2 linked regions of the Coturnix japonica genome follow. The protein of the gene in region 1 interacts with the protein of each later gene in a pairwise test. Links are inferred from orthologs where the notes say so. Each region holds a gene or a part of one and is shown in the gene's direction. Other genes may lie near its edges. The genes, in order: DLC1 and RASA1.

Region 1 (4,422 bases):
GCATCAACAAGGGCACTTGAATACAGTTGGGAAATGAAATCAAAGGCAGGGGAGTTGATTTGTCTTCCTTACACTGAATCAATGCTGAATCAGAGCAATTCAGAGAAAGGTGTGACTCTCAGTACCTGTATTGAGGCGTCAATGTATCAGAGGCATCAAGCAGAAGCAGAAAGGTAGGGTGGTGCTTTTTAAGTATTTTAGGGAATGAACCATCTGTTTACTTGGCCCAATTTCACATTTTGAAAGAGCTAGCTACAAACATTCTCAACCCTGTCTTCAAATGGACATCTGCGAATAACTAAACATGCAATTCTAGAGGCAGATAGGAATCTTAGTTCTATTTATATTATGTAGATTCCTTTAGAGGTTTTCCTGATTTAGACATTAGCAAAAATTGAGGATCTCGATTATTTTAAATTTGGGTATCTTAAAATCCTTCAAGTTCTATTTTTAACTTGGTTTTGTTAACTTTAGGTCTAGATGTGCTTTATTTTGCTTTTCATAATTTACAAACAAGATGAGAAAAACGCTGGATGATTTAGCTTCACTAATGTGGTTGATTGAACAGCGGAACACTTTCTCAGCCTTTTTCATGCTCGGTGCTGTAGCCTTGTCAGAAATGTCTCTTTCGATAACCATGTAAGTCTTCTCCAGTATTTTTTTGCTCGTACATCTTAATAGTGGCCAAAAGTATCACCACTCACATTCACAGAGCTTGTAGGAAGCTAGTTTTGATGTTATTGAGTTAGTTAACATATTACAGGGCTCCTTCATTAGATCTGTGCTGCCACTGGACAGGGGAAATTAGTGGTTGCCAGTGTGTGGATGTGCATCTGCTTTTTAGGCAGCTCATCATTTATGATGATACAATAAAATATAACTTTTAAAGTATGAATCGGTACTTTAAAGTACAATTTTGAATGTATTAATACACATTTTAAAATATGATTTTGAGTTTCTGCTTCTCAGATTAAATGTTTAAAATTACTAACCTTACCAGTCATGTCGGTATGCTACACCCACACTAGATAAGTGATTTTCTCATATTTATTTTCTTTAATCTCTGTATACACACACACATTTAAAATTCTCCTGTAAAGCATAATGCAATTTTCAGTCTTTTTGTCCAAATGTTACCATATAGAAAATATTTTATTCCACATCACTAAATATATGTAAGTGTACTTACTCCCTGTGTCAACCTAATCATCTAAAACCTTGTGACGGTAAATGTAGAGTGCCTTTTCTGCAGCAGTGTTCTTTGAACAGGAAGATTCCCTGGTGAATTCATTATTAGATAGAAGTCCCACCCCTATGAAACTGCTGTAGACACATAACAGGATTACTGCTCAAGAGTTTACAAGCATGCAAGTAAAACTGCTCCAGTCAGAAGCAGGCATCTTTAACTAAGGTAGGAGAATGATCTTTGATACACCTTGAAACAAAACAAGAAAGCATTTCTAAGTAATTTTTCTTTAAATAAAATTACTTCAGATACTACAGTATCAGTTCAGCTTCTATGAAAAAAAAAAAAAAAGTGTTTTAAAAACTGTATAACTGCCTTTACTTGTTAGAGTTAGTATATTTTCAATTCAAGCTCCTGATAAATGTGGATGTTGTTTTATCATTGGAAAAAGGAGGGTTCAAAAGCATGTAAAAATTCTAGAAATGGCTCTTGTACTTCATATGTTGATTTTTATGATTTTGAGAGAATACTTAAGATTCTTACTTAAGATGTTTACTATTTCTAAATTAAATATTTTTAAATAAATAGTATTTCTATTTATTTCTTCAGTATTTATTTTTATCTTGTAGTTTCATAGTTAACAGAATGGATATGACAATTTTCAGTTTTAAGTAAGTCCTTGCTTGTAATTTACCTTGAAGAAATACATATAATATGTCTGCGTTTTCAGAATAGTAATTTGTTATACACATAAAAAGGGCTTGATACAAATTTTCTGACTTTCTTAATTAGCTAATGTAGGATGTATTCATGCAAATCTAAGAAAATAAATTATCTGGATTTAATGACCTAATGGCAAGCAGCCCTCAAAATGTAGAGCTGCCTAATCGATGTGGTGACAAATGAAATGATCTGTGGCCTTCAAGGTTGAGAGCTAATTGAATGATCACACAGCCTTTTTTTTTTTTTTTTTTTTAAACAGCTGCTTGTATATTCCTAATGGATAGCTTGGTTTTATTCTTCCTTAAAGTAATTGCACATTCATTCTTAATTGAAATTCCTCGGTTTTATCTATCAGTTTGCTTTTAGGTAGGGCAAGGGTCTTTGACTTTTATACTTTGGAGGTTTACGTTGTCAGTGTGATGTATAGAGCACCTACTTGTAACTGTAAGTGAATAAAAAATCATTTTAACCTGCTCTTAAAATGTTCCCCTACTGAAAAATTCTGAAACCCAAATTAGAGAGTGCTAGGAAATCTCAAGTCTATTAAATGTATTCCCTGCTTTGGGTACTGCTTGTGAAAGGAAATATAATAATTTATCTTTGTTAGACTGGTTGTTTTATGTACATAATCAGCTACAGCATAAATTACTTCATTAACAGATACACAGAGAAGTCTATGTAATGAAATGTCTGAGTCATAATAATAAAATTGACTTATACGTGTAAATTGTCATAGCAATCATTAATGTTTAAGTGTTCCTTGTCACCAAAAAGTTTGGAAGGACAACTGCCTTTCCTGTGCTTCTCCAACTGCTCTTTTTCTGAGGGCAGTGATTAGGAGTATTTTCAGCTGCTAACCCTGTTCATTCACAAATTAGTGAATGATCAGGGTCCTGTTGTGTTTGAGCTACTTAGTTTTAGAGGCACTGAATCTCACAGTCGTATGTACCATATTCTCTTATGGTATTTGACACTAACTGGGCTATCTCTTAGTATATTAAACAAGTGGTTCATTTGGTTTCTTAGTTATATAGTTTTTGATATATTCAACACTTATACGGCTGTCTGATAGCTTTAGCAGACTTTATCCCACGTGCTTTGTCCATTGCAAAAAATGTTTTATTTTTCAAAGAGCTTCTCCTCCACAGGCCCTATAGCACATTTTGCTGTGAATTGAACAGGTTTTCTGTTCCCATTTCTTGGGGGAAAAAAGCGTTAATATTTATCTCATGACAATGTAGAGCAATGAAAATTGCTTCCCTGGAAAGATGACAATGAACAATGACCCATTCTTTACTTTCCATACTTGAATGTCATCCATATCCAAATGTTGTGAGAAGTCTCCAGATTGTTTGCTTTGTTTTCTTACTTTTTTTCACTCTTCCCTGTGGAACAAAACAGACTATACACAAGTGCAGTGCCTTGCACGATTTGAACAAGAAGGGCATTTTTGGAGCAGGGAACAGAAGAGGAGAAAAAACAGAAGCCAAAGGAAGAGTCTTTTGCATCTGCATATGAAGTTATCTGACATATTAATACTTATTTTTTGCAGTTAAAACCTCATTTCCTACGTGTTCTTCCACATACTCCCCTATCCTTTGCCCCAGCCAAAAAGTAGTCTTGCTGTATAGCAAGAGTTCTGTAACTTCGTGAGAGTTATGCAGATTGCAGACACTGTGTATGGGGAGAGAGAAATCATTTCACTCTTTCCATGCTTGGCAGTAAAGAACATATCGCTAGTCTCATTTGATGAAAAGCAGAGGTGATAGGGAAATTACAGGAATACAGATTTTATTGATATTTGAATGTAACTGTGTCCTGAGGGCAGGCAGTCTTTGTGAATTATATCGATAGTATCTTCTTAATGCATTTCTACCTATTGTTACCAAAATTGTTAGCTGATGGCTAATAAGGCTTTTAACTTCCTGACACTGACAAAGGCAGCTCAGTGAATGAGAGAACTCTGAGACTGATATTTAGCCTGGCAAAATGTGTTTATTTCAGACTACCAGAAAAAAAATCAGTTTGTTTTCCTGAATGTTCTGAATTGCCCTTTATATTTCTGATATTGCTGTACAAGCTTTTCCCAGGTCTCAACTGTTGTAAGGAAATTAAATTAGGATTATCATGGTATTAAGTTCTTATATATGTGTGTATGTATGTGTGTGTATATATATGTATGTGTGTGTGTGTGTATTTATATATGTAAGAAACAATTGGAACATCATCTTGTTCCAATTTATTGTTTGCCGCATTATTGTCATCCTTCACTTGATTTATCTTTAGGTAGAATATAATGCAATTGCATATATTACAAGTGGTATAACCTGAAAACACAATAATTTGGTCTGGAAGTCTCTAGCCAACTGGTAGCTAACGTCAAGTAAATCTGCACAAGCTGCATTTACTCTATTGTTGCCATTTCAGCGTGTAGTGTTTTTTTTTTTCTTTTTTTTTATTTGTTTGATTTCTCATGCCTGACTGTCTTTTATGTTTAAAAAAGATTCTACCTT
Region 2 (3,826 bases), on another chromosome or scaffold:
AAAAGAAATTTACAATACAATTCGTCGCAAAACTAAGGATGCTTTCTATAAAAACATTGTCAAAAAAGGCTATCTTCTGAAGAAAAGTGAGTTCTGCTTATGGCTTTTTTTCTGTGGAACAAACATGGATGCATGTTTGGTAACTTATTACATAAAACTAGTACTAGAAAGGACAAAGTAGAAGCGAAAAGATAGAGAAAATGTGTGAAGAGTGTGAAAAAGTCTGATAAAAAGTATGGTAACCAAAACTGTGTGTTTTACTTGAAGCTCATATTTTTTCAGACAGAATAGATTGAAGCAAGCTAGGAGGATATAAATCTGATCATTGCAGATCAGAGCTATTTTGTTATTCCAGGCTACGCTGCATATTTTAAATCTTAAAAGTACTGTTTTATCTATAAGATACATAGGGACTTTTTCAGGGTTATATCACTGGTACCATCAGCCATAATTAATTTTAGCTAGAAGAGAAAATGAGATACTTGAAAATGCAAACAGGAGTGCTGTGTAGATGTAGAGAGGTGCCCATAGCCACATATGGAACAAATATAATCTATCTGCCATCTAGTGGACAATGTAATAACTGGATGGTAGAGTCGTGTTTTCAAAACCACACTGCTAGTGTGGTGAGTTCATCATATTCAAACTATAAAGATAAATCTGCATTTATTTTATTTTATTTTTCTAAAACATATTGTGTCATATATGAATTAGTTCCAGGAAGATCTAATCCATTGGAGGTCAGAGATTAATTTCTCTGAATGAAAAATGAAAGTTGACAATTTGGTGGATAAAAGCGTGTGATTCTAATTCAGATCTGCATATAATGTGTTCCCATCTCTGCTGTTCAGTCATATTTTTTATGGTGCTTTGATGTTCCTACTGCAAATTGCTCAGAGTTCAGGAGTAGCGTTCTCTTGTCTAGAGCCTGTTTCCTAATTAAAAGTTATTGGAATAAAATGGGATCGGTGAATCAGGACATAAACTGTTAACTGTACAGATACCAAGTCAACCTATTCATGTGTACACAGTGTCCTAGCAGCTTGTATGCACTCGCATATGCAGTCTTGATGAAATTAAGATGTTTAAAGAACTAATTGCAACCATATGTAAAACTGTGGTGATAGTCTGGATTTAGCTATATGTTGCACAAAATTGAGTATATATGCTTATATATATATGTGTATATATATACTGATATGTGTGTGATTGTCACATCCTGCCCCTAAAGGGAGGGAACTGATGACCAGATTCATGAATGCCCCCGGTTAGGTTATGGTAAAATGATGCATAGGAGGTCCACATTCAATCATCCATTTTCATGATAACCTACATGCTACAATTATCCTCAAAATACTGGCACTCTAATACTTAGAATCTACGTTAAACCATCCAGATAAACTATATGATATTAAAGAACCAGAATAACATTAGTACTTAACAATTTTGACTTATCTCATGAAGTTGTTACAGATTTTAGGAAACTTAATTTTATGAGAGAAAAATAATGAAAAGGTGAAACTGAGGAAAACAGACAAGGGGTGAGAGTCAGAAAAATTGACAGGAAAAGGATTGGTCACCAGACTGTTCAAAAGGTCTCTTTCAAAGAGTTCCAGTGTCAGCCTGCAGTGCTGAAGAAGGGGTGAGGGGAGGGTGTGCACTTGGCCAGAGGTTATAGTCTTGAATCAGCAAACAGTAATGATGACCATTGACAATATGAAGATGATGACTCACGGGGGTCCCTTTCAGGTGTCTTTTTAAATCAAATACACCCAGCAGGTCAGAAAGTGTTTTTTGTTGGTCTTCTACAGTGACTAGCTATGCCATTATAATAGTGATTAGCTAAATATCCTTCTGTTTGATGCTTGACAGAAACAGCTCTGCTTTGTTATCTGAATTTACAAAATTGATGTTTTATTTAAAACAATTACAACTTCTGGCTTTACTTTCCTACAGGTAAAGGAAAAAGATGGAAAAACTTATACTTTATATTAGAGGGAAATGATGCCCAGCTTATTTATTTTGAAAGTGAAAAACGAGCCACAAAACCCAAAGGACTAATAGACCTTAGCGTGTGTTCTGTGTATGGAGTACATGACAGCTTGTTTGGCAGGTAGGATGCTGGCCCATAATTCTTGTATGTGCAGCAGGAGACTTGACTGTTAGTTTCAGACATGCACAGTGCAAATGCAACTTGTTGCCAGTGAGCTGGCTTGTATTGATTGCAGTTATTCATTCATATTCATACTAGTAACTGTTCCTAAACTAATTGAAATTAACGATTTTGGTATTTCAAGTTAAAGGTTTTTTTTGTGAAATAAGGTGTAATCATTCAAGCTTTTTGTGTTATTGTATCTGAATATTAAGCATAATAATTGTTTCATGTTTTGTGATAGATACGTGAGAAATGATGAAATAATGCTGAGGGTTTTGACCAGATAGAATCAAGAATTGAGAAGATTAAGGGTTTTGTCAATGCTGAGACATCATTGTACCTTTGATAGATATTTGAAAGCTAACTTGGATAGGCAGAGTTTATAAAGAGTTTTCTATTTAAGATGAGTATCCCAAATATTTGGCATTTTTATTCCAACCTTTTTTTTTTTACTCAAAAATTCTAAAAATCCATGGTACCATCCATAATAAATAAACACTTGAAATTTTCTGTATGTAAGCTGGCAATTATGAAGGAAGCTTTGGTGCATATTTGTACAATGTAAAGAAGGAACAGTTTGTTTGATGACTACCTCCTAAGAAGCGCTCTGCTGTGAAACTGGGCAGTAACTGGTTCTGAATGTGGGGAGAAGGAAATGCATGGTTTCATCAACTGAAGGAAACTTTAGCTGATAGTGAGGAACTGTAGCTGAGGTAAAGTTCCTCCGATATTTTAAGTAGCTGCTATTGGAAGAAGGAAAAAAATAAGAAAAATAATCCCAAACTCTGTTTTTGCCCTTTTCTCAGAAGTACGATGAAGTTTGTAGTTTTGCTTGTTTCTTTGAGGGTAGTGATATAAAGAGCTCTAGCTCCGGTTACTTCCTGCTCTCCCCCATGCTGTGACATGGACACATTCACCAGCCAGTGAAACAGATGGAGAACAGAAGGTTGAAATTCCACTGGAAAAAGAAATGAGATTTTGTATAATGCAATGATTGGGACAGCTAGGTTTCCTTCAACATAAACTGGAAGGCTGTGAACAAAGTGTCATTTAAAATAGCTTGTAATTTAACACTTGGTAGTGTTTTTGACAAATGGATGGTGGCATACAAAATGGCCGAGACACCATAATTCCATGTACAGATTTAGAGGTGTGTAGCAAATGGTTGCTGTGTGACCCAATAAACATTTTATTGGCCATGAGTCCTGTGGGGCACATTCATGTAGGGGATTTCTTATGGTAGTATTTCCTGAAAGAACAAATCCTTCATGTGTCTTTAATTGCTTGGGAACTAATGCTGAGCCTTTGCTTGTTTTTAAAAGTTTGTGGGAATAGATTGTAGTGGCAAGTCTTTCATGTTTCAAGGTGATTACTTATGCTTTGACTGTAAGCCAGTATGCTTTCTTATACAATATAAATCAGGCATGGGGCATCCACCACCTCTATAGGAAGCCCGTGCCTGTGTCTGACCACTCTCACAGTGTAAAGAAATTTTTCCTGATGTACAGTCTGAGATTAATAAGTGAAGGTGTCTGTAAACGTTACAAAGATGAATAAAACTTTTTTTTTTTGTTCTGTTTATCTTTAAGGCCAAACTGTTTTCAGATAGTAGTTCAGCACTTTAGTGAAGAGCATTACATCTTTTACTTTGCAGGCGAAACTCCAGAACAA

The links.
Region 2: the proteins of DLC1 (region 1) and RASA1 interact in binary tests that used the Homo sapiens proteins (3 or more experiments, as listed by UniProt). The link is inferred for Coturnix japonica from reciprocal best matches to the Homo sapiens genes DLC1 and RASA1.

The regions. Positions count from the first base shown.
Region 1 is NC_029519.1:58,027,184-58,031,605, forward strand, and holds the start of DLC1 (rho GTPase-activating protein 7), read left to right. Parts: upstream 1-1,315; 5' UTR 1,316-1,411; intron 1,412-4,422. UniProt on the Homo sapiens protein: Functions as a GTPase-activating protein for the small GTPases RHOA, RHOB, RHOC and CDC42, terminating their downstream signaling.
Region 2 is NC_029547.1:54,337,295-54,341,120, reverse strand, and holds part of RASA1 (ras GTPase-activating protein 1), read left to right. Parts: coding exon 1-86; intron 87-1,956; coding exon 1,957-2,113; intron 2,114-3,744; coding exon 3,745-3,826. UniProt on the Homo sapiens protein: Inhibitory regulator of the Ras-cyclic AMP pathway. Stimulates the GTPase of normal but not oncogenic Ras p21; this stimulation may be further increased in the presence of NCK1.